Linked DNA regions of Cricetulus griseus. The protein of the gene in region 2 interacts with the protein of the main gene of each other region in a biochemical or structural test. Links are inferred from orthologs where the notes say so. Each region holds a gene or a part of one and is shown on either strand. Other genes may lie near its edges. The genes, in order: Fam20c, Fga and Plat.

Region 1 (8,027 bases), on a different chromosome or scaffold from region 2:
GTCTTCCCGAGTAAATCAGATCAAAACAGGGGGCTCAAAGTTAAGCACATGAAGACAGACAGAGGTCCTTGAGATGAGTACAACTACTGGTGAGGCCCTGGAACCCCAGTCTCCCCTGATCTCTGGAGATCCTGGGACAGATCCCATCACCTTTGCATAGAATAGGTATCAGTGAGAATAGGGAATAATAAATTGAAGCACCTGCAAGTGGCTGGCCAGCTGTGGGGATCACTTAGCACTCAACCATCCTAGGCTTGATTTTGCACACTAAGGATGCCACCCTCTTCATTGTTGTACATGTCCCGTACTCCTCAGCTGAATGGTCCACAGAGGCAGCGGTACCTCTGAAAGCTGGTCTCACCAGGTCCTTTCACTTGCTAGGAAATTGCTTCCCCACTGAGCCATGTTCTCAGCCCCTCATTGGAGGATTCTAGGCAGGTGCTCTTTCAGAGGGCCACAACTCTAGTCCCTTACTGGAAGATTCTAGCAGATGCTCTCCTACTAAGCCACATCCCCAGACCCTCACTGGGGGATTCTAGGCAGGTGCTCTACCACTGAGCCACCCCCCAGGTCCTTCTGTGCGGGATTTTACTACTAAGCTACACTCCCAGTCCTCTTTTCAGTTTCTGTCTTAAAAAGGGTCTTGTTAAGTTACCCAGGTTGGCCTTGGCCTTTTGATTTTCCTGTCTCAGCCTCCTGCATAGCTAGATGACAGGCTTCACCTTTATGCCCAGCTTGGGTATTTCTTTAACAGTTACATTATACTCCAAAGAGAAAGGGCATGGATTGTGGCTCCTTTATAACAAAGTCCTTGTGTTAACAAGGACTATTCCCCACTCATCCTGAATCCACAAGGGGCATGGCAGGGTCAGGTGGGGATGCATTCAGACCTCCCTGGCAGGAGGAGGGATGGTGGAAGACCACTAGCTTGCTCTTTTTCACTAAGTGATCTGACCAAACCCTGGGGGAAACTGTGGGTCCTGGCTTTTTTGACCAGGCAAGAGCCCAGCACACAGATCAGCAGAGCCCCAGACACCTCTAAAGAGGTGGTTGCCGCAGGCAGGCAGCTTCTAACTGCTCCATGTCAGCAATTGGCCCAAAGCCCATAACCGGAGGGAGCCTGTTAGCAGATCTGCTTTCAAGACACATGGCAGGCTACCCAAGCACATGCAACTGGGCACACCAGGGCCACCCCTGCACAGCCCCAGCCCTCAGCCTGTCCTATGCCACCTCTTGAGCCACAGTGACTATCGATCACTCACAACCTGATAACAACCCCCAAACCTGCTCAGAAACTGCCCCTGATGTTCTGTTTTCCTGAAATTGAAAACAGGATTTTTTTTTTTTTTGGCTTATTAGATCACGAAAACCCAGAGATGTTCCTTTTAAACTGCTCCATCCAGGATACTCAGGCTTCAACTTGTTCCTCCTTTGACCTGGTGAGATCCTGGGCCCCTACTGAACTCTGAAGGGAACAGGCTCAGAACTTCAGGCCCTTGCTAAACCATGCAATTTAGCTGCCCCTGCAGGAGGGACAAAGATGGCCCATGCATAGATGTTGGCAGGAGGTGCTGCAGCCACTATGGGTCACCAGGTCATTTTTTTTTTTTTTTTTTACAGGGGAGGGAGGGCCCATATGTCTTCATATATAACTCTACCAGGGGTCAAAGTGGTGACCCTCACTTTCCAGCAATGAGCCTTGAGGCATCCATCTGGCTCCTGGATTACCAAGGTGGTCATCTAGATACCCTAGAAAGAGTGGCTCCTTTGTCAGTGAGCGACCTGAAAAGAAGCCAGCTTCACACAGCCCTGGTACATCCACACCAAGGTACATTTGCACCAAGGGCAAGCAGGTGGCTACCTACCGACACTGGTGATCTTCTGAGAGCCAAGGTCCTGCAATAAGGCATCGATGGCCGGGTTGTGTCTGGAGTACAGCTCATACCGGTTGATGCCGATGTGGAATTTGAGCCAGTTAGGATAGAGGTCCACCGCTGCCTCACCAGTAGGCAAGAATTCTGCTCCTTCAGCACCTTCATGTGGCCTGCAAGGAATGAAGGCAGGCTGTAGTCAAGTGTTAAAAGAGAGGCAAGAGGCGGAGGAATGTTGGGGAGCTGGTCCTGAGGGTCAGGGCTTGCGACTTTGGGTTCAAAGTACAGGTTCACTAAAAGCTGCCTTCACACTGCCATGTCTGCACTTTCCTCCCCGGCTGCGGTTCCACCACCTAATAACACACCTTAAGGCCTGTAATTCCTATTTACCTTCTAGAGACGCCACAGACAACCCTAACTACCACTGGCCTAGACCCAGAGTGTCAGCGCTATCCCAACACTTCTGTCCTGGGGTCACCAAAAGTGCCCCCATAACAATGATGTCAGCTGGGAGTGTGTGGGAAGGGACTGTCAGCTTTTCCTGGGACCAGACAGCCTAGAAGTTGTAGGCACACCCAGCCAGCCAGAAACGTCTCCAGCTTGCTGCCTTTGTTCCAAAGACTAGGGGCAGGGATGATGCAAGGGGCTAAATTTGATTTTAATGAGTGAAGCCATAGGTGGGGAGAGCTGGACGGAGGAATCAGTCACTCCAGCCCAGGTTCAGAGGGAAGACCTGCTGCCTGCTTTCTCTGGCCATGGGGTTGTCTCGAAGAAGAACAGACCCTCTGGGAGCCTGCTAGGCTGGAGGGAAAGAAGGGCCGCTTTAGCTCTGCTTCACTGACAGGTGAGGATCCTTCAACTCCAGATTGTCCTACACTAGAAGCAAAAGGAGGACTGGGGTCCTCCAAGAAGCCACACCCTGGCCACTCTTTCCGCTGCCTCTGCTGGATGGTTTCTGGCCAGTACAGCCCAGAAGCCACCAAAGAGCTCATATGTGCAGGCTCAGGGCACAGGGCCTGGTCACATTCCAGGGGGGGAAAGGATTTCTGAGGCTGTTTTGGACGGGTGGCTCGTGCTCTCTCTCTGCTGCTCGGGAACCTTTGCAGGTTATTTGCTCTAGCCAGCTGTTGGTTAATATTTCACTCTGCTGGGCTTATTTGGATCTGTGCAGCTGTGGGGGTGGGGGTGGGCACAAATCTGGACAGCCTGGAAGGTAACTCCAGGATGGCTCATCTTCCTCCCCACAGCTAGTCAGGGTGGCCCTGGTTCACACCCTTGCCAGGAGGCCTCGACACTGCCAACATCACTTCTCAGCTGCTTTCGTCCCCAGTGACTGGGTTTAAAAGACTTATTAGGTACATTCAGGATTTCTGGAGGTGCCCACCCCGAACAGCTCACCCATCGGTCTCAGAGCCAGAGCAGCCCAGCCCCTCCCAGGGGAAGGCAGCTCCCACTCTCCCTGGCTGGCTTTCCCAACATATTCATTCATCTGCTTCCTCAGCCATCGCCAGGGCTGGCCAGCATGCTTCCTTGTAGGTGGAGCACTGGGCTCCCCTGGTTCCTGGTGGACCGCCAGCCTCCCACACCAGGGTACTGGGGGCCTCCCAAACCCCATCAGCCCTTCTCCCTAGGAAATCATTGTGGAGACAAAGGCAGGGCCCAGAGCAAGAAGCGCATCTGCCCCGCCCACCAGGCGTCCCTACCCAGCCTCCTCTCAGGGTCCCCAACGATACACAAAATGCTTGGCCTGTAAAATAGCTTTCTAAGGGGGTGTCTTTATTCCCGGAAGGGTCGGGCGCGCCAGCCCCACCCCAGCCTCCCATTCTCTGCTCACCAGTCTGGATTCTCTGCTGCTGCCTTGGGGTTAAACCTGATGTCGCTGTTCACATTAAACAGGACGTCGTCCTCTGTAAGAGGAGGCACAGCCCCCTGGTAGAGTGGGTGCTCAAACAACTTGGCTAAGAGCGATCGGTCCCCGCTGGGGCCAGGGGGCGGTACCCGTGGCCGGGGCCCAGGGTCTCGAAGTAGCGGCCGATGCGCAGGGTCACGGGGTGGCGGGGAGCCCGGCTCCTGACTCGGTGGAGTATGATCAACTGGCTCCGCTGCGGGAGGCAGTTTCTCCAAAGAGTGGGAGGTTAGGTTAGAGGCTGGATCTGAGCTGAAGTCTTGCAGGATGCGCAGTGTGTGTTTGTTGGGCCAGCCTGCGTCGCCACCGGCGGACTCTCCCGGGCGGCTCCTCGCCTGGGCCCAGCCTGGGCCAGCTGCCTCTGCCGCCGGCTGAGCGCAGGAGCAGCCGGGCTCCCCGGAGGATCGCGCAGCGCGCCGGTCCAGCTTGGGTAGCAGATCAACAGCAATGTGCAAAGCGCAAGCCAGTAAGAACACCACCAGGATGAGCACTCGAAACCTGCGCACCAGGATCATCTTCATGGCCACGCAGGCCAGCGGGCTCGGGGGGTTCCGGACGCGCGCTCCACCGGTGCCCCTCAGCTTGGCACCAAGCCGGCAACGACTCACGGGTCAAGGTCCATTCAGCGTACGAGCAGCTACCAGCTCGGGGGCTGTCCCCAGGCTCGGACGTCGTGGAGGACACCCGCCACAAAAGCACCGGCTCTCCAGGCCATCTCGGGGGGCATCCAGCGGCCCTGGTCGGTGGAGCTGGTGGCAGTGATGACAGGGAACACAGCAGCGGACGAGGGTCTCTGGGACGGCGACCACACTCATTGGGTGTGTAGGCAGAAGGCGCGGCTATTCATCCCCGGCCGAGGCGCGACGGATCCTATCCAGAGGGCAATGCTCCCGCTGGGCCACTCTGGGTGCTGGGCGGGGGACAAGGCAGCTCCTCCGTCAGGCTGCGGCTAGGAGGCCGGGCTGGAGAGACAGGGTCGAGAAGGGGAGCGCGCGGGGGCGCGCGGGGCGAAGCCGCGATCTGGCAGGTGCAGCGGGCCGACCCGGAGCGCAGCGCCCACACGGCGGAGCTCCAGTCGCCCCGCGCCTGGCCCGCTGATATCCGAGCGCCGCGGAGCCGCCCCCCGCGTCAGCGCCCGCAGATTGGCGGAGCCGCGGCCCGCCGGCCGGCGGCGCTCGCCCGCTCTCCGCTCTCTCCTCCCCTCGGCCGCGCCCCGCGGTGTCGTCGCGCCTCCTCGGTGCTGAGCCTGGAGCTCCAGAGGCCCGGCCGGGAGCCCGCAGCCAAAGCGGGCTCTGGCTTTGCGCGCACGGCTGTCGGCCTGGTCGCCTGCGTCCCCGAAGCTCTGCGCGCCGCCCGCTGCAACCGAGCGGCTCCTCCCCGGCGAGTGGAGGCCAGAAAGCAGGCCAAGTCCCTCCCCGGAGCCCGCGGGGCGTCTGCGCGGCCGGACGAGCTCCCCTCCGGGCGGTGTCCTGGCACCTCGGTCCCCGCAGCTGGCTAAGTGGAGGACGAAGGGGCGACGTTGCCACGCGGCGGAGAAAACGGCGGGGGAGCGCGTTGAGCCCCAATCCGAGGGGACGCCAGAATCGCGGCAAGACTGCCGGGCCCACCCCACCCCAGGGGACACGCCTGCGCCTTAACCCTGGCAGCGCCGCGCCCGGTCTGGCTGAGAGGCTTGGATGCGCGGGCGGTGGGCGGGGCGCGTCTCGCTGCCTGCCCTCTGGGATGCTAAATCGGGGTGCACATTTTGGGGAGATCTGCTTCTACCACGTGGTCTCATCTGTCGCCACGAGGCTTCTGGTCCCCAGCCCCCAGTAGGAAATAGAAATCCATGGGAATTTCCGCCTAAAATTCTGGGAAGGTAAGCGGGAGAGGGTCACACACAGATGCACAGGCTGAGCTCCCGGCTTCAAGCACCTGCAGATTGCCACACCAGCCCAACCCAGCTGCCTCTGTAAGGGACCGAGGGGCGGAGCCTGTCCGCTGGGAGCCCCTCTTTGTCATGCTCTCCTGGCTGTGCTCCCAGGCCCTCTAATGCTCGGAGTGAGCCTGAGATCTCTGTGAATCGAGTGCACAGCATATGGTATTTCTGAAGATTCAACGATGAGTCTGTGGTAGCCGATATTCAGAAGTTGCCCACTAGCTTCTTGTTAGTGAGGAAGAGGGTCGCAGCCAGCTAGCTGGTCAGCAAAAGTGCCTCCTAGGCCATTAGAAAGGGAGAGAGGTGGTGTGTTCCATACTCCTGTAACAGGAGCTGATGCCTGTGCTGGACTACATAGGGGAAACGCCAAGAGTGCAGTGGGTGGGGCCTAAACAGAAGTGCACCCCCAGGAAGGTATGGCTTACACCAAGGAAATTGAGACACTGCATTCAGCTTTCCTTCCACTCACACGGACAATGAGTTTGTGTAGATCAATTCCAGAATGGGAAAGTTGGTGGTTGGTGGTCCTGAGGTCTCTGGAAGGAAGCACCCCAACCTAGGACCTCTGGGGATAGGTGAATGTCCTCAGGGCAGAGGAATGGGGGCACCAGTGTGAGGGCCTCCCTGGTTTCTCCTGGTGTCCTGGATACTCCATTCACTACAGCTGTGTGGTTCCCTCAGGGAATTCCTGGCTCTCTGGCTCCTACTGTAGGGAAGTAGGATGTAGTAGCCTGTGTATGCAGTGGGCCTGCCTGCTGTTTTTTTTTTTTTTGCAGCAACACCTGTTGCTGCTGTCTACTAACAGGCTTCCCTTTAGTTACTCTCTGCCCTTCCTCTCCCCAAGATGCATGCACTTCTTGGAGGGTCTCCGAAGAGATTTAGCTCTCATGGCTCCACCCAGAGGCCCCAGGAAGGTCAAGGTGACTCATGCAGAAGAGGTCTCTGAAGGCACAGTCCTCCTACAGAGGAAGGCATGACACACTGTGCCCCAGCTACTCTGAGCTGAGGAGGAATTTAACACAGACACTCACAGATGACACACATGGGGAAACACAAGGGAAAACAATGACATAGATACACAAGCACACAATTGCACACAGACATACTGATTCAGACACATAGACACAGGTGACACATGGGAAACCCAAGGAAAAACAGTGATACACAGACACACAGGTGCACATAGACATACACAGACATGGGCATACAAACCCAGGTGACACACAGATACAAACATGGGAACACATACACACACACACACACATACACACACACACACACACACACACACACACACTCTAAAGGAAACAGAACCTCATAAAGCCTCTACCTTATGGCTGTCTGTGCACATGCCCCACCAGGCTAGGTGGCGCTGCCCACGGAGGACCTTGATGATGGCATGCAGCCCCTGCCAGAACCTAGGAGGTGGCTCTAGAGCATTTTATTAGGGTGGCATAGAAGCCCCTGAGACAGCACATGGGAATGACCCTCTTGGCAGTCTGCAATGGTACTCATGCAAGGATTCCTATGCAAAGGCCCTGGGGCACACCAGAGCAAGGAGACTCACAGAGCTTGTGTTGGGTGAGGGGTGTGAGTGAGGGCAAGAGGGAGACTGAGGCAGTGACAGTGTGTGTGTGAGGGCAAGGTGGTCTCTTGGGAGGCCCACAGGTGACTGCCAAACAGTGAATTATGTCTCAAGTGAGGCAGGCCATGGGAAGATCTAGGCTATCCAGGCACAGACGGCACCGTAGCACAGGGAAGAGAGTTGGGCTAGGAAGTTTTAGTGTACAGTGAGTTCTGGCCAGTAGGATGCACTGTCCACATGCAGAGTTCATTGTTCTCCCAGGCTCACTGAGACCAGTTGTGGGATATCAAACATTCCTATCAAACAGGTAGACGACAGTCCAGATAGGCCCAGGACCCCTTCCTGGAGAAGGGGAGAAGTGCAATCCAAGATCTGTCCTGTCCCCTGGACTCCCCACCCTGGTAGGGCTTGGAACTTCTCAGCTGGCAGTAGAGAGGGGACATTGGGCCACACAGCCCTGCACTCACAGGGCGCTGGTATCTCTCTCTTTGAGGTTTCCTTACTCACAAGTCTCACAACTACTGGGGAAACAGGCCCTGGTATTGGGTTCACCCTGCAGATCTAGTCAAAGTTCTCAGGGGAAATAAGACCTCAGTGGGATCTGTGTTCCCTAGGCCGAGTCTGAGGAACTATGGGAGGAGGATTCAGGCATGACTGACAGCTCATGCAAGGCCACTGACCATCCCATTGGTTAGCATCTGAGACATCCTTTCCCCAGTGTGGTTCAAGGATTCTGAGAAACAGGAC
Region 2 (8,027 bases):
GAACCTTGGACTAGAGAGAAAATGAGGACATTTTGATTACAGACTATTGGATCTTCTAGAACAATTAAAGGTGCCATTTCTAAGGATGCTGCTGCAATTGTTCGGTATCACTCTCCACCATCTGGTGCTGCTCTGCTGTCTAATGTGATAAAGTACCATGAAGAAAAGCAATGCAGGGCTGTGGGAAAGCACTTTAGGGTGGCTACTCCTCAGGTGAAGTGATCAGAGAAGGAAGAGGGAAAGGAGGAGTGGGGGGAAGTGAGGGGGGACAAGGAAAGAGGAGGAGAGGAGGAAGGGGAGGAGGAAGTGCCTTTTGAACACATGCTGGGATAGAGTTAGGAAGTGAGATATGCAGACACTCCAGGGGACCATGGAACAGCAAGGACACAGTCCTCAGGTGACATCCTTGGAAATGCTTCCACAGGCTCCACAATGATGGCTTTCAATGAAATTGTCTCTGTTAGTCTGCTTTCAGGAAGATTATTTATTTATTGTTATTTATTATTATTATTATTAATTTATTGTTTATTTACCTGAAAGGAGCTTCCTGCAGGCCTAGGGCAACTTTTGAGGGGGTTTCCTGTCCCTGTCGTGCCTGGCATTTTGATGATATAGTATCTGTGGGTGAATGTTTACCAGCTTCCCGAGGAATCACTGTTGTCTGGAATCTCAATGGGCTCTAGGATTTCCTCTGAGCTCTGAAGCTGACTTGAAAAAGCTGAGGAACTTGCCTCAGACATTGCCTCCAGGAGAGCTTTGATCTGTCTGTAGCAAGCTTCACATACCTGAGCTGCTCTGTTTGCAACAGAGGAACACATTCATGCTTGCTTGCTCAATGACGATCTGTACCTTTTTTGAGAAACTATAAAAACAAGCAAAATATTTTGATTTTTCAGTTTGTGATCTAGTGGAAAAGATAATTAATACCTCTATAGTTATAAAGGCCACAGTGATAACTCGTATAAGAAAAGATAAAGGAACAAGGGACTACATTTATTTGAGTATTAAAACAGGACTCCATAGAATGTCCCCCAAACACTTGGAGCTCAGTAAGCTAGGCACTCAATAAACATTAGTGACTGCTATTTCCAGGAGTGGCTTTACAGAGCAAGCAGGATCAGACTAAGTAGGACTGCTTGCCAGCCAATGGGATGCCCCGTTAAGTTTGAATTTCACAAGTATAGCAATAGCATTCCAGTAAGAGTATGTTCCAAATATTACAGAAGACATACATATATTGCAAAAGATACACTGTTTGTCTGTCTGAGATTCAAACTTAACTAGCCATTCTCAGTTTTTATTACTAAATATAACAAACTTAAGTCAAAGGCTTCTGTTAACTTTATTGAATCATGACTGATAGGTAAAAATTGTGAAATAATTCCCCTTTGAGATAATTAGCATATGTATTCACTCATTTGATTATCTTTTCCTTTCCTTCTTTTCTTATTTCCCCCATTTTTCATCTCCTCACCAATACTGTGGACCCATCTCCGGGTTCCCCATTTCAGGTTTCACACAGAAGTGAAATCATGTCTGTTTAGTTTCTTTGTTATTGTTTTGCTTAAAAGGAAGAAAAGAGAAATGCTGAGACATGAGACCATAAGACTATAAGTTTATTATAAGGCCCGTCAGAATGAGGAAACTAAGAAGAGGAACAGGGTAAATGACTGACCGCCAGGGCTGGTCACCATAGAGAGACAGAGCGGGGAGGGGGGGAAGAGAGAGGGGAACAGAGCATACAGAGAGAGTAAATGGGCAGGGGCCTATCTTTTAAAGGGGTCCTCTGCACCTGCGAGCAGACCTAGTTCCCATGGAACCTTGGGCTGACCAGGGTATTGCCTGTTCAACCAGGTAACAGGGGCAGGCCAGCATAATGCCTGAACCTTTCATTCTTTCACTTAGCATATTTCCCCAAAGACAGGTTTCTCTTCTTTTCACCAGCTGAACAATAATTTCTTGTATTTACCCTTTTCTTTATCCATTCATATATTGAGGGGTATTAAGCTGCTTCCCTAGTGTGTAATTGTGAATAATGCAGCAAAAATCTGTTCAAAATCCAGCTAGTGCTTTAGGGGGAGGATAGAAGTGGGTAGGTGGGTCATACGGCAGTTTTACTGAGAACTGGATATGGAGATGAAGAGCAAATGAAGAGAGTCCATGCCCAAAGACAAAAATGAGGAAAGAAAGAGCACTTTCCACAGCATTTCTGTTCTTCACTGATGGCTACCACTTACTACCAGGCAGTGGTGGTGACCACTACTCTGAAGGCCTTGAGATAATTCACCCATTAATTTATTAACATGTAGTAGGTTGCCATTGCCCTCATTCTTTAAATGAGGACACTGATTCACAAGGATGAAAAGTAAACTTCATACAAGCACAGAGCCAGGAAAATGGAGCTAGGATTGTGGAGGTAGGTGTTTGGCCCCAGTGGCTGCTGTTTTGACACTTGAATGGAGGAAAACCATCTGTTTAACATAAGCTTACTGTAAGCTTTCAAGTCGTTTTGAAAGTAGGATGAACTCTGAATCCTACACACACAGTCAAATGTCATTGGTTAAATCTCTCCTTCACAGAAGTGACAGCCAGAATGCCCTAGAAACCCTCACCTTCCTTTGGGTGTGGAAATGATTCATCTTTGTACCCTCAAAGTCCCCCCACTTCCTGGAATGTGGAATCTTCCCCCAACTGCTGGCTGCACAATCAAATGCTACCATTTGCAACAACTTATCAGAAGCAAACAAGCTACAGAGAATTGAGCAAGAATTTCCGGGATACCAACATTATGGTCAGAGCAAAGGATGCCATGTGAGCTTTGGCTCTTTGAGTAGGACAAAGGTGATGATTAACCCAGTCTCCTGCAGATTTAAGTAGGATGGGAGCTAAGAGTAGAGTCATTCCTCCTTTCTTTCAGCTGCAGTGCTCCTCATGAGCCATCCTCATACTAAGAAAAGATGCTTTCCCTGAAGGTCACCTGCCTCATCCTGAGTGTGGCCAGCACTGTCTGGGTATGTACTTTCTCTTCTGTCATTGTCTGGTATTTCTCCTACAAGTAGCTTTGAGTTTGGAGTCTACCAGGTCTATTACATTAGTTAGACTATTATATACCAGGTCTTCATTCTACCCTCTCTATAAATGCCAGGCCATGGAGGCAAATGCCTAGATAGGCTTGACAACTACACAGGGTCCTGTGATGTTGAGGAAGGCCATAGGAGGGCATAGTGAAAACATCATCAAGGGAACCTGACATCTGTCACACAGGCTGACTCATTTGTGAGATTTCATCTTCCAACATGGCACTTTTGTTTGTTATATGTTTTCATGGTGCTCGGGATCTATTTAGTGTCTGGGCATGACAGGAAAGCTTTCTACAGTGGAGCTACGTTGCCAGATTGCCAGCCTGGTGAATGTCCCCACACCTTTTTCCCTCTGAAGTCTGTAGACATCATACTAACAGAACAAATCATTTGGTAGGAATTGTTCTCTAACTTGTCATTTCTGGCTGTTTGTCTATGATAAACAGCATGTTTTAGGTTTGGTATAGCTGTTCTGTAGGTTTTCGTAATGTTGAGGACTGAGTCCAGAACTTTCTAGATGCTAACACACATTCTCCCATTGAGCTACATCCCCAGCCCTAAAGGTAGTTTTTCTATCTTTTTGAAGACATAAAATGTAAAAGGCAAATGTATTACCTTTGAAAACACACAGAAAATTCAGAAGGAGTTAGTTGTGAGGCAGTGTGTTCTTCGGAAAGATTTGTGCTTTTTTTTTGGATAATCTCTAAATACTGAAATAATTTCAAACTTAAAGACATATAAAATAAAGAAACCCAAAACAGCAGGGCTTTGGAAGCATTATAATTTATGAAACATGTCAATTATGTCCAAGAAACTCAGTAACACCCTACTTAGTTACCCAGGGTACATATTACTTTGGTTGCCTTCTTGGCTCACCATTCATACATCTTGAAATCAGAGAGTAAGAATAAAACATTTTTGTGGGAATAAAACTAAAATCACCAGCTAAGGTGATGTTTCTGGATAATTCATAGCTCTATTATTTTCCTTAACTCTTGTTGGTTTATTCAATTTCTGTCTGCTTTATTGTTGCATTATTTTATTCTGAAATGCAATTGAATTTACCATTATAGTTCTTATACAAAAGGATTCCACTTGTTCTTTTAAATGAATTGTTCATTCCTTTAATTATGATAATTAGGGTTATTTGAATTTTCACAAATGAGAATGAGACTGCATTGACTTAATTATAGGATGAACTACCCCAAACTAGTGACAGTAAAACTCTTGGAAGTTAGTAGTACAGACTGAAAACAATGAAAGCCTAAAAGCCATGTTCATCCATTAAACCATGAATTCTTGTTGAACAAAATGTTTTTTAGTTCATCTGGCTTATAGCTGAGAATTTTTAACCCTGTATTTCTAATTATAAGGTGTTCAATAATTGGTAGTTGCTGACTACTGCTTTAACTGTTTATTATTTTCATTTTGAATGGAAATCTACAATTGCATGATTGTAGTTCAAAACACTGCCAAGTTTTAACTTCCTACACTTGTGTTCTTGATAAATGCTTGTCTGAATCATGGACCATCTCCAAAGGTTACCATAGAAACCTGATAAAGAAAGGGAGAACAAGTGCAAGAGGACAGACATGCAGAAAGAAGACTTACAGGAGAAAGAACTATAATTTTTCATCTATGGCCATGAAAGGAAAGAAAATGATGAAATTTAACTGATTTTGTTAATCCAGATCATTTTTTTTGTTTTAAACCCCTGACATTTAGCAGGTGCTTATTGAGCATCAATACAATTTTAAAAACAGTTCACAGCCTGTGTCTCCTTTACAGCTCATAATGACTCTGTAGAATAAGTAGAATTTTCATTTAATTGTCAGAAGATGACAGGCTGAGGAGGCAGACGGCTTTGACTTTTACCTCTGCTTTTTCTTCCTTGGGCATGTGGACATCATTAATGTTTCCATAAACAACATCATAATGGCTAACATTGCTGCCTCTGCTCCTTTTTGGATGTTTCCTTGAAGGCCTCAGACACTGGGGGTGAATTTATAGAAGAAGGAGCAACAGGGCGTGGCCCAAGAGTTGTGGAGAAACAGCAGAGCCAATGCAGAGAGACAGACTGGCCCTTCTGCTCTGACGAAGATTGGGTAAGCAGAGAGTATGGTGAGCAGGGTTCCTTCCTTGTGGGACAAATAGCTACAGGCTCACTAAGTGAGTTCTGGAAACCTTTCCCCATCAGAGATAATGTAAGGGTAACCTAGCTCCTTACATGCCAAATTAGAGAGAGAAAATAGAAAGAAAATTAGTCCTAAAGCATTATCTAGTTATCTCTAGTGGGATAAACAAACTGGATGCCTGAATAGTGGGACTTGAAAATTCCCAGATCCTTGAGCAAGACTAAGTGGACCTTCATTCTGGAATTTCCCTATGGCCTCTTTACTAGTCCTTCGAGCTACTTTTAAGTTAGTGGATACTTGGAAGAGCTGGGGAGGGGAAGCTTCAGGTAATGTTTTAACAAAACTTACTAGTAGCTAAGAGAGAGACCTTTCATATAATCCCCTGTCCTTCATTTTCAGAACCACAAATGCCCTTCTGGCTGCAGGATGCAAGGGCTGATTGATGAAGTCAATCGAGATTTTATCAACAGAATAAACAAGCTTAAAAACTCACTATTTGATTTTCAAAAGAACAACAAGGATTCTAATTCGCTGACCAGGAATATTATGGAGTATTTGAGAGGAGACTTCGCCAATGCCAACAGTGAGTAGTACATATTTGGTTCTCAGACTTTCTAGCAAAAACAAGAACAAAAATCCCCAATGATAACATTTTCCTTCAGCTACTGTGATTTCCATTCCAAAGTACTCAGCATGGAAGCCACTTAAATTGAAGGTGGTGTACATCATTTCCACAATCAGAGAAGTTAGCTTAGATTTTTAACTTCCCATATATTGAAAGTAAGGAGAGGTAGACCATTCAAGTAGATACTCTGCTTGTGGCCTACAGACGAGGAAAGGAGTCTCAGAGGTCAAGGGACTTCTCAAAGTCACAAGGTAAACATCTGCTCCAGATTCTGCTGAGCCAATTATATACTAAGATTTGAAACACAGGACCATGCTCAGTCTTCCCCTGGGACTTACCAGGGCTAGGAAGTACTGTGGTCACTCTAAGCACGGAGAGCAAGTCCATGGGAGTCCCAGTTCTTGTGGCCTTGTTTGCCTCCTTCTGTCTTTATGAAACACAGAAAAATGTAATATCAACGGTGCAGCACTAGCTGGCAGGTGACTGATCCTGGTAATGCCCAAAATGTTTAGAAATGATTTCAAAGTTCCAGGTGGAATGAAAATCTCAACAGAAATATCTAATAATAGATTCAAGTCCCTTGAATGAAGTTTCAATCAAATCAAACTCACTACTTACAGAACCTCAGTTTTAAAACTCCAAAGTATTTTCTTCCGGATTTCTAGTCACGAGTGGGACAGTTTGACTAATACCCACGGATGGCTTTTGTATGGAACAACCCAATTAAGCCTGAAACTTGCAGATTGCACATCCAGAGAACAGACTATAAAGAAGTAAAGTGTGGAAATATTTATAAGCAATTTCCTTTGGTGGGGAGGAGGTTAAGCAAATCAGTCTGCAGCCAGTTGAATACACTGAATTTTCTGTTTCAGACTTTGATAACACATATGGCCAAGTGTCAGAAGAGCTGAGACGCAGAATTGAGGTCCTGAAGCGAAAAGTTGTAGAAAAAGCACAACAAATTCAAGTTCTGCAGAACAATGTCAGGACTCAGCTGATAGACATGAAGCGCCTGGAGGTAGGCATGAGACCCTGGCACCAACCACTTTGTCTTTGACTAAGAAAGAAAAGGAAGACACTAGTCTTCTGAGTGTCAACTAAGTTCATTATCACCCAAAATAAAAGTGTCTCCCGCCACAGAGGAGAAGACAGAAGTACAGAGATGTGAAGGAAATTCTTGAAGGGAAAACAGTATATTTCAGAAGAACACTCTCTCCAGTCTGCCCACCACATGCTGACACCTTGGCTTCCACATCTTGGAGGCTCTTTACTGAGAGCTTCCATTCACAGAGATTTGTGTCTTTCTTTTTCCCCATTCAAATTCTAAAATGGATCCAAATAACTCCCACTGCATAACCTCCCTGGCCCTACACAGCTGCCAGTGAGGATACCATGATAAGTGAAAGACAAAGTGTAGGACTGATTTTTCTAGTAGTCAAAGAAGTGAAACCCATTTCCAAAATGTAAACCAATTACCAGATACTCAGCTATCTCAATAGGCATAATTCATTTCTCTTTCTTCCTCTCTTTAGGTGGACATTGATATCAAGATCCGCTCTTGCAAAGGGTCCTGCAGCAGGGGTGTAGCCCGTGAGATAGATCTAAGGGACTATGAAGGTCAGCAAAAGCAGCTTGAACAGGTCATTGCTAAAGACTTGCTTCCTTCAAAAGACAGGCAGTACTTGCCAGCAATAAAAATGTCTCCAGTTCCTGACTTGATTCCCGGAAGTTTCAAGAGCCAACTTCAGGAGGCCCCTCCAGAGTGGAAGGCATTAACAGAAATGCGGCAGATGAGAATGGAGCTGGAGGGGCACGTGAAGGGTGGGGATTCACGCGGTCATCCTCGAGGTGATTCTCCAACACATAGACCAGGGGCAGAGGCCGAAAACCCAACCAACTCTGGACCTGGTGGATCTGGGTATTGGCGTCCTGGGAGCTCCAGACCTGAAAGTGATGGAAATCTGAACGCCGAGGACAGGGAGTTTGAGGGAAGCTCTAGACCTTCAAGTTATAGGCCAAGTAGCTCAGGCTCTGGGAGCGCCATGCCTAGCAACCCTGACTGGGGTGAGTTTTCAGAGTTCACAGGAAGTAGCAGCCCAGCAATAAAGAAAGAGTACCACACTGGTAAAGTGACCACCTCTAAAGGAGATAAAGAGCTCATGATTGGAAACGAGAAAGTCACCTCCA
Region 3 (7,125 bases), on a different chromosome or scaffold from region 2:
TCAGCAAGAACAATACTTCTAACGGAAACTTTAAGCAGGAGAAAATGAGTACAATTTGGCTCTGACACTGCAGTGCCTTGGAGGTGAATGGCAAAGGCATCAGTGTCTTTGGGGGAGATGTGAAGAAAATAGTCTTCTGATCGCTGCTGTCCCTCCCTGCTGAGCTGAACTGAGTCTGCATGGGGACTTAGGGATCCCCTGGGACAAGAGACACCTGTCTAACTGGTTCTACTCTGCCAATAGTATCACTAATGCCTTACTGAATCTGGTTGTAGGATACAACATGGAGGAGAAACAGACTTTGTAGGGGTAGGTGCTGTCTGTCTTCAGACACCCACTGGGGCCTTGGAGCATGTTCCCTCCAGATCAGGACTGACTGTTGTATTCTTGCCTCAGTCTGGATGGTTGGCGGGGGGTGGGGGGGCATTGGCAGCAGGAAATGTTATCTACTTATATTTCCTTTTATGCCAGTAGGTGGTAACTAGATGCCATCAATACTGTTTCTAATTGTTAATGGCTTTAAAAAGGAAATTTAATGAGAAACCCAAGCAGGTCTTAAATATCAAGGAATGTGTGTTCAGCTTTTGTATATGGAGTTGAAAGTCTCTAACACTTTGTGATTGATGTACAGGGCTGGGCTCTGGGGGGCCAGGACCAGGGCTCTGTGTTCCTCTGCTCTTTAACAACAACAGCAACCCATACAGTTACCTGGGACCATACTTGCTCTTTAGTTCTGTTGGCCTCTTTTATTAATCAGCCAGGAATAATGGGGCAACATTTACTTTCCATTTGACTCATTCCCTTCCTCTGGTGAATTCCAGACATCGCACCCTGCATTCCTTAACCAATCCTGGGCAGGGAGGGATGTGCTATTCTGACCCTTTGGTGTGATTCATAGGACTGTCTTGTTGGACACTGCTCCATAAGAGTCAGCAATTGTCTTCATTTGTGTATGGTTTCCAGGACTCCACTCAGGAATGTTGGGGCCTTTTGACTTTGTATTCCCATCCCAGAAGGCTTTTCGGCTTCAGTTTCATCTCACTAACCCTAGTGTCTGAAGAAAATCTTGTTCAGTGGGGGAGGGGTGAAGCCAGCTGCTCAGCTCCGCAGGACTGGGGTGGGGGCCTTGCTTACTACTGGGCTCAAGCTGTGTTGGAATGGGATGAGATGTATTTCTGCCTAAAATCTTAGATCAAACCCTAAAGGCAGACTTGTCTGAAGTCAAGAAATATGTGACTTAGTCTCTGATTCATATTGATGGAACTGGTCTGGGGACTTCATAGATTTCGGGAAACCTCCCAACACCTCCCTCATCAAGTTCTTTTGTGAGTTTACACTATTTTTCTTCTAAGAGTCTCCAACAGGGCAGTACTGACAAACCCTCAAGAGATAAGAAAGGCCTTTCTTTCAAAAAAATTTTTTTTTACCCAGCCACACCCGAGAGCAAGCATTACATCATGAGAGATTCTTGGAACTAAGATGTGGTGAAGAAAGCTGGAGACAATGGAGAGAGGTTTATTCTATGACTGGTAAGACAGTGTGCAAGGGCCAGCAAGAGGTCAGTTTTCAAAGAGCGCCTGTAGCTTGATCCTCCAACCTATGGTGGAAGGGGAGAAATGACTTCTGAAAGTTGTCCCCTGACCTTTACACCTGCGCTGTGTATGGACACACCCCCAGACCCACATCACGCACACTAAAGGAGTTACTAGAGCAGTAGGTCACAAGCTGCATACTTGTGTGCACTGGTCTGTGAGATAACTGTTTCTGAGGAGCAGAAAACAAAACAGAATGAAGAGGGAAAAAAGCAATCCAGTTAGTAGCATTTAGTGTGAGCCATCAGTTGAGCCGTTGCTATGTTAGTAAGAGATGGTTTGGGGTTTTTCTGGTCTGTGTTGCTGTAATTACTGTCCACAGAGTCATGCGACTGTCTGCTCAGTCTGTGGTCAAAGTGTGGTTGATTTTCCAGATGCATCTTCATTTATCACCTCTTGGAGAAAAACACTCATTTTGGCTTTCAGAGTCCTTAGCATCCAATCTACAATCCTGATCAAGTTCAGGTGAGGTTGGGGACATACCTAGCTCAGTAGTGGAGTACTTCTTTAGCACACCCAAAGTCCTAAATTCAATCCCCAGCTCTGTGTTTGCAGGTGCCTGCCACTAAGTTGGATAACCTGAGTCTAACCCCCAGGATCCATATGGTGGAAGCAAAGAACCAACTCCTGTGGGTATCCTCTGACCTTCACACATGCACCAGGGACTCGGACAACTGCTGTCCCCCACATTCAATAAAAACTGTTGCTCATCCCCTGTACTCTATTGCCTCTTAGGCCGCCAAGTCTTTGTTGTCACAATAGGGAAATTCTGGGTCTCAAGACTTGCCTGACTGCAACTGTCTACTAACGCCGTCTTACCATTGTGTGAAAACCCTTATGAATCCTACTTTTCCTGATGGTCCCTTCCCACTTTCACAACTGAGGTCCAATGAGGTCTCTGCTGTGCTGGGACCAGCTCCATTCTACTTTACTTCTGTGAATGCGTCTTGTCCGTGCCAACTCACCCCACCCCATTTCTACTGTTGGTGGCACCTGGCATATTGCCTTGGGGGTAAGCAGGATTTCCACATGTTGACTGAATGAAAGGAAGTCTTTCAACTGACTCAAAAGAAAAAAGAATGTGAACACAAATAAGCCATGGATACACACCATTTGAAAAGTGTGAAAAATACCTCTGGATTTATTATTTAAGTACAGTATATATAATACAGAGTTATGGTAAAAACTAAAATAGATTAATATATAAATATGCTAATGCTACTTCAATTATTAAAATCAAATAGTTCTCTCAACTATCTATAAAGTTTATAAAGAAAAAAAGAAGATTTACACTGTATACAAAGGAATACCTCCCAAGAGTTGAGGAGTGGGAAGCGGGTGGAGAATATTTGATTTCAAAGGTCTTATAGGGCTATGATCTAGCCAGCCAACATTTATGTCTCTTAAAGGCCCTGCTGGGCCCTCCTGTAACTATAAATATACATTCTTATCCCTAATGCAAACTTTCTCTTCTGAAAGATTAACCTGGGCTTTACTGTTGAGACATGATCTTTTGTCTTGTGGTCCAGAGTACAAAATGGTGGCCCAGGAGGGTGGACTTTGGTCTACCCTTCTTTTAAATCCCAGAGTTGTGGGAGGGTTGGCATTTTCCCATCTTCTCATCAGACAGATTTTATTCTAAAAATCAGACCTTCGTCCCTGAAAACATGCAAATTGTGAAGTACCTGTCACAAATAAATGCTATATCCTCTCCTACAGACTCTCCAACCCTCTGCTGAGGAGCAGTATCTAAAGATGATAGTGTAAAGGACACTTGGCCTTTTGGGTGTGTCTTCTATAGAAGAGGAAGGCAGGGCCTCCTCCAGATCCAAGGAGCTGGGTTGTCTTTGTCATTGCTTCATGTTGTCTTGAATCCAGTCTAGGTAATTAGTAACCTTGGTATATACTCCAGGGACATCCTTCTGCCCACAGCCAATGCCCCAGCTGATGATGCCAACCAAGGTCATGTGTTTATTGACCATACACACCAGTGGTCCTCCCGAGTCACCCTGTGGAAGAGCACAGATTAGTTGTTTGTATGTATGGCAGAGTGTTTGGAAGCAAATTTCCATTGCTATTTGTAGTATGAGGATCGTAGCCCTCAAAGAACTTTGTTCAGGGAGGGAGACTTGAGGCTATAGATTAGGCTGTATCTAAATTCTGGTAGAGCAGCATTAAGAGCCTGGCATGGTGGCACATGCCTTTAATCCCCGCATTCAAAAGGCAGAAGGAGGTGAATTCCTGAGTTCAAGGCCAGCATGGTCTACAAATAGGGTTCCATGCCACTCAGGACCACACAATGAATGAGACTCTGCCTCAAAATAAATAAATATCCACTAAAAAACAAAACACACAGACTTAAGATAACTGTTCAGAGCTGGGGTATGGCTTAGCAGTAGAGCAGTTAAAAAGCCAAGAGCTCCATTCTTAGCACCCAGGAAACAAACAGAAAAACTTCTCAAGCTTTATAAAAGCTGATTTGAGTGGGTATCGTGGTGGTGCACACCTTTAACCCTAACACTTAGGAGGGAGAGACAGGTAGCTCTCGGTGAATCTGAGGCCAGCCTCTTCTACATAGAGTTCCATGCCAGCCAGGACTACATAATGAGATTTATCTCTTAAAAAAAAATCTGATTTGGACTCTTCTACTAATTAGTTGTATCGCCTCAGTGAACTATGATTCACTTTTTTTTTTAAATCAGGTGTTTACCATCTGGGTCTTAATGTCAACGGTTGTTCTGTGCTGGTTACCACTTGGGTCTCAATGTCAGCTGTTGTTCTGTACTTGCCTCCTAGCTCCTTAGTAATCAGGAAATGGGAATTCCAAGTCCAGTGAGGACTCAGAACCTAAAATGCCTTGCTTCCCCAACTGAAGCTAAACTTTGGAAACTCTTTCTCAACCTCCTATCCTTGTCTTGCATCCCAAGGGGATGCCTTTTCTTGTCCTGCAAAGCAGGCCCAAGTTCTCCAACACCTTCAGAAGGCAAAGATTTAATTATGTTGTTTTACCTGTCATTTCAATGGGACTTACAGGGAAATCCTGCACTAGGTGGAGTTTCCTGCCACAAACCCGGAAAATGTGCTGCCATTGAGATGTTTTAAATTTAAGGAGCTTTGGCCTTTCTCTGTCGTTTTCTTCTTCGAAGCTCCACTTTTGAATCCCAGTGTCACACCCTCCACCATGGCTCTCACTCCCCCTGCCCTTGGGACATCCATCGAGTTTACCTGGCATGCATCATGGACATTTTGGTTGCCTCCACTTCGGGTGTCTCCAGCACACAGCATATTGTTTGTGATGGTTTTATTAAACAAATTCTGTGAAGTACAGCGGCTCGGTGGGTACAGCCTAACATGGGCTTCCTTCAGCCGATCAGAGAAGAAAGGAGATGCTGAAAGAAAAGGCACAGATGTCTCAGGGTGGAGACATCTCTTCCAAACCTTTTGGAAAGAGAAAGCTGAATTTTCCAGTAACAGTTAACCTAAATCAGGTTTTTACGTAAGACATGACCTACGTTTCACCATTTTGACCTCCAGCAGTTCTCTAGGGTGAGGTCACATTTCTCAGTAGCACTACTGACAGTTAAGCGAGATAGTTATCCATCATGAAGAGTGTCCTGTATACCACAGATGTATGGCAGCCTCTCCTAACCAAAGGCTAGGATCAGCCTTCTGCCAGACATGTGACACCTTGGCCACAATGATTCCAGACACTACCAATCGTGGCCTGGGTGGTGAAATCACCCCAAGAGAGAGCCATTGATTTAATCAGGCGTTCTATTATTTACTTCTTATAATTTAATCAGGGTGCTTGCCCTGTTTCTACTTTGGCAGTGAGGAAACAGAGGCTTCAGTAATTAAAAGAAATTAAAAAGTGTTTAAGGTCAATCTAATGGTCCACTATAATCCTGGGACACTGCAATTGCAAGTTGGAAACCACTGTAGGAAACACCATGAGACCCCATTCATTAAGTAACACAAATACACATCCGGCTTGAATAATCATTCCCTCAAAGGCCAGTGTGCTGAAGGCTAGGCCTGTGGTGCTCTTTGGAGATGGTAGAGCTTTTAGGAAGTGGCTCTGGGAGAAGGAAGTTACAGTTGGGCAGAGAGTTGAGACCCAGACTCTCCCTTTTCTCCCTTTGCTTGTGTGTTACTCCGAGGTACACATTTCCATGGCTGTAGGCACCTCCTACGATGTATTGCTTTGCCACAGACCCACAGACTGGGCCAACTGACCGTGGTCTGAAACTTCCAAAGCCATGAGCACAAGCAAAGCTTTCCTATCTTTAGGTTAATTTATCTCGTGTTCGTTGGCCTCATTAGAAAGCTGAGTGACACAGTCAGGGCCCCACAGCTAAGCCAGAGGCAAGTTTGGGAGACAAACTCAACTTATACAACTCCAGTGTCTAAGAACACACATACCTTTACACCCTCCCTCTCTATCTCCGCTGGACTACAAAGCTTTTCAGAGCACTTGCCTGTCCCAAATTCCTGTGACCAACACACAGTGTCCCCATAATGCAAGGAAGCAGATAGCAGCTTCTCATCATACAGACAGGCAGAGTTCCACCTGAGTTTTTCCGTGTCATGCCACATTTGGGACCAGAACATTGTGCGACCACTTCCCCTCCATCTGCCACATGATAGATAAGGTTGGAACCAAGACTTCCTTCCACTTACATTCCTCATGCTTGCCATAGCCAGACAGCTCGCACTCTGTCCAGTCAGGAAGCTGCAGCTTGGGGTCAGGAAGGCAAGCGGTGCTGACAGAGCTGCTCTCCTGGGCACACTGTTGGGTATCTGACCTCAGCTGCAGTAATGCTGGGAGTGAGAGAAAGGAGAAGAGAGTGACTCAGTGAGGGGAGGGACAGGGTGACAAAGAAGGGTGTGTGAATATAATGGCCTTTTACCAATGTCATTGTTGTAAGTGTCATAATCAAATTCATCATGGACTATGTATTTTTCGATCTCAAATGTCTGCTCCTCCTCTCCAGGCACCACCCTGTATGTTCTGCCCAAGACCACTTTAAGATGCTGGGGAGGAAACCTGGCAAAAAACAAAAAAACAAAACAAAAAAAAATAGCATGGGTATATTTTGTAAAACTTTAAAAAAATGTTGTTGGATTTTGCCTTGAGTGACATCCGTGGGCTGGCTCCAAAGCCTCAGAGAATGGGCAGTCCATACCTTTCCACAAAGCAGTGGGCGGCAGACAGCACCCAGCAGGGACTGATCAGCACCCCTCCACACAGGAATCTCTCTCCAGGAGACCTTCTGTTCTTGACAAAGATGGCAGCCTGCCACGGGTGTGAAGTGATGTCTGTGAAAAGTCCTCCTTTAATTCGAAACTGTGGCTGTTTGTATTGCCTCAGGCCGCAGGTGGCTGGAGAGGAAAGAACAGAGAAGGGGTGGGTCAGGCCTGTAGTGTGAGGACAGGGTTGAGAGAATCCCACATAGCTTTCTTTACCTGTCAGAACCTTGCTTTTTGCAGGCTACTGCCCTTGAGCATGCTGATACAGAATGATTTAACTGTC

The links.
Region 1: of the proteins of Fga (region 2) and Fam20c, one has a biochemical effect on the other in vitro, tested with the Homo sapiens proteins (2 studies listed by IntAct). The link is inferred for Cricetulus griseus from reciprocal best matches to the Homo sapiens genes FGA and FAM20C.
Region 3: the proteins of Fga (region 2) and Plat form a complex in vitro, tested with the Homo sapiens proteins (2 studies listed by BioGRID). The link is inferred for Cricetulus griseus from reciprocal best matches to the Homo sapiens genes FGA and PLAT.

Annotation. Positions count from the first base shown.
Region 1 is NC_048597.1:75,420,542-75,428,568, reverse strand, and holds the start of Fam20c (extracellular serine/threonine protein kinase FAM20C), read right to left. Parts: upstream 4,299-8,027; coding exon 3,706-4,298; intron 2,045-3,705; coding exon 1,866-2,044; intron 1-1,865. UniProt on the Homo sapiens protein: Golgi serine/threonine protein kinase that phosphorylates secretory pathway proteins within Ser-x-Glu/pSer motifs and plays a key role in biomineralization of bones and teeth.
Region 2 is NW_023276806.1:71,311,028-71,319,054, reverse strand, and holds the start of Fga (fibrinogen alpha chain), read left to right. Parts: upstream 1-2,957; coding exon 2,958-3,011; intron 3,012-5,062; coding exon 5,063-5,185; intron 5,186-5,614; coding exon 5,615-5,798; intron 5,799-6,712; coding exon 6,713-6,858; intron 6,859-7,372; coding exon 7,373-8,027. UniProt on the Homo sapiens protein: Cleaved by the protease thrombin to yield monomers which, together with fibrinogen beta (FGB) and fibrinogen gamma (FGG), polymerize to form an insoluble fibrin matrix. Fibrin has a major function in hemostasis as one of the primary components of blood clots.
Region 3 is NW_023276807.1:60,916,838-60,923,962, forward strand, and holds the end of Plat (tissue-type plasminogen activator), read right to left. Parts: intron 6,975-7,125; coding exon 6,779-6,974; intron 6,640-6,778; coding exon 6,503-6,639; intron 6,414-6,502; coding exon 6,273-6,413; intron 4,982-6,272; coding exon 4,818-4,981; intron 3,602-4,817; coding exon 3,443-3,601; 3' UTR 2,705-3,442; downstream 1-2,704. UniProt on the Homo sapiens protein: Converts the abundant, but inactive, zymogen plasminogen to plasmin by hydrolyzing a single Arg-Val bond in plasminogen.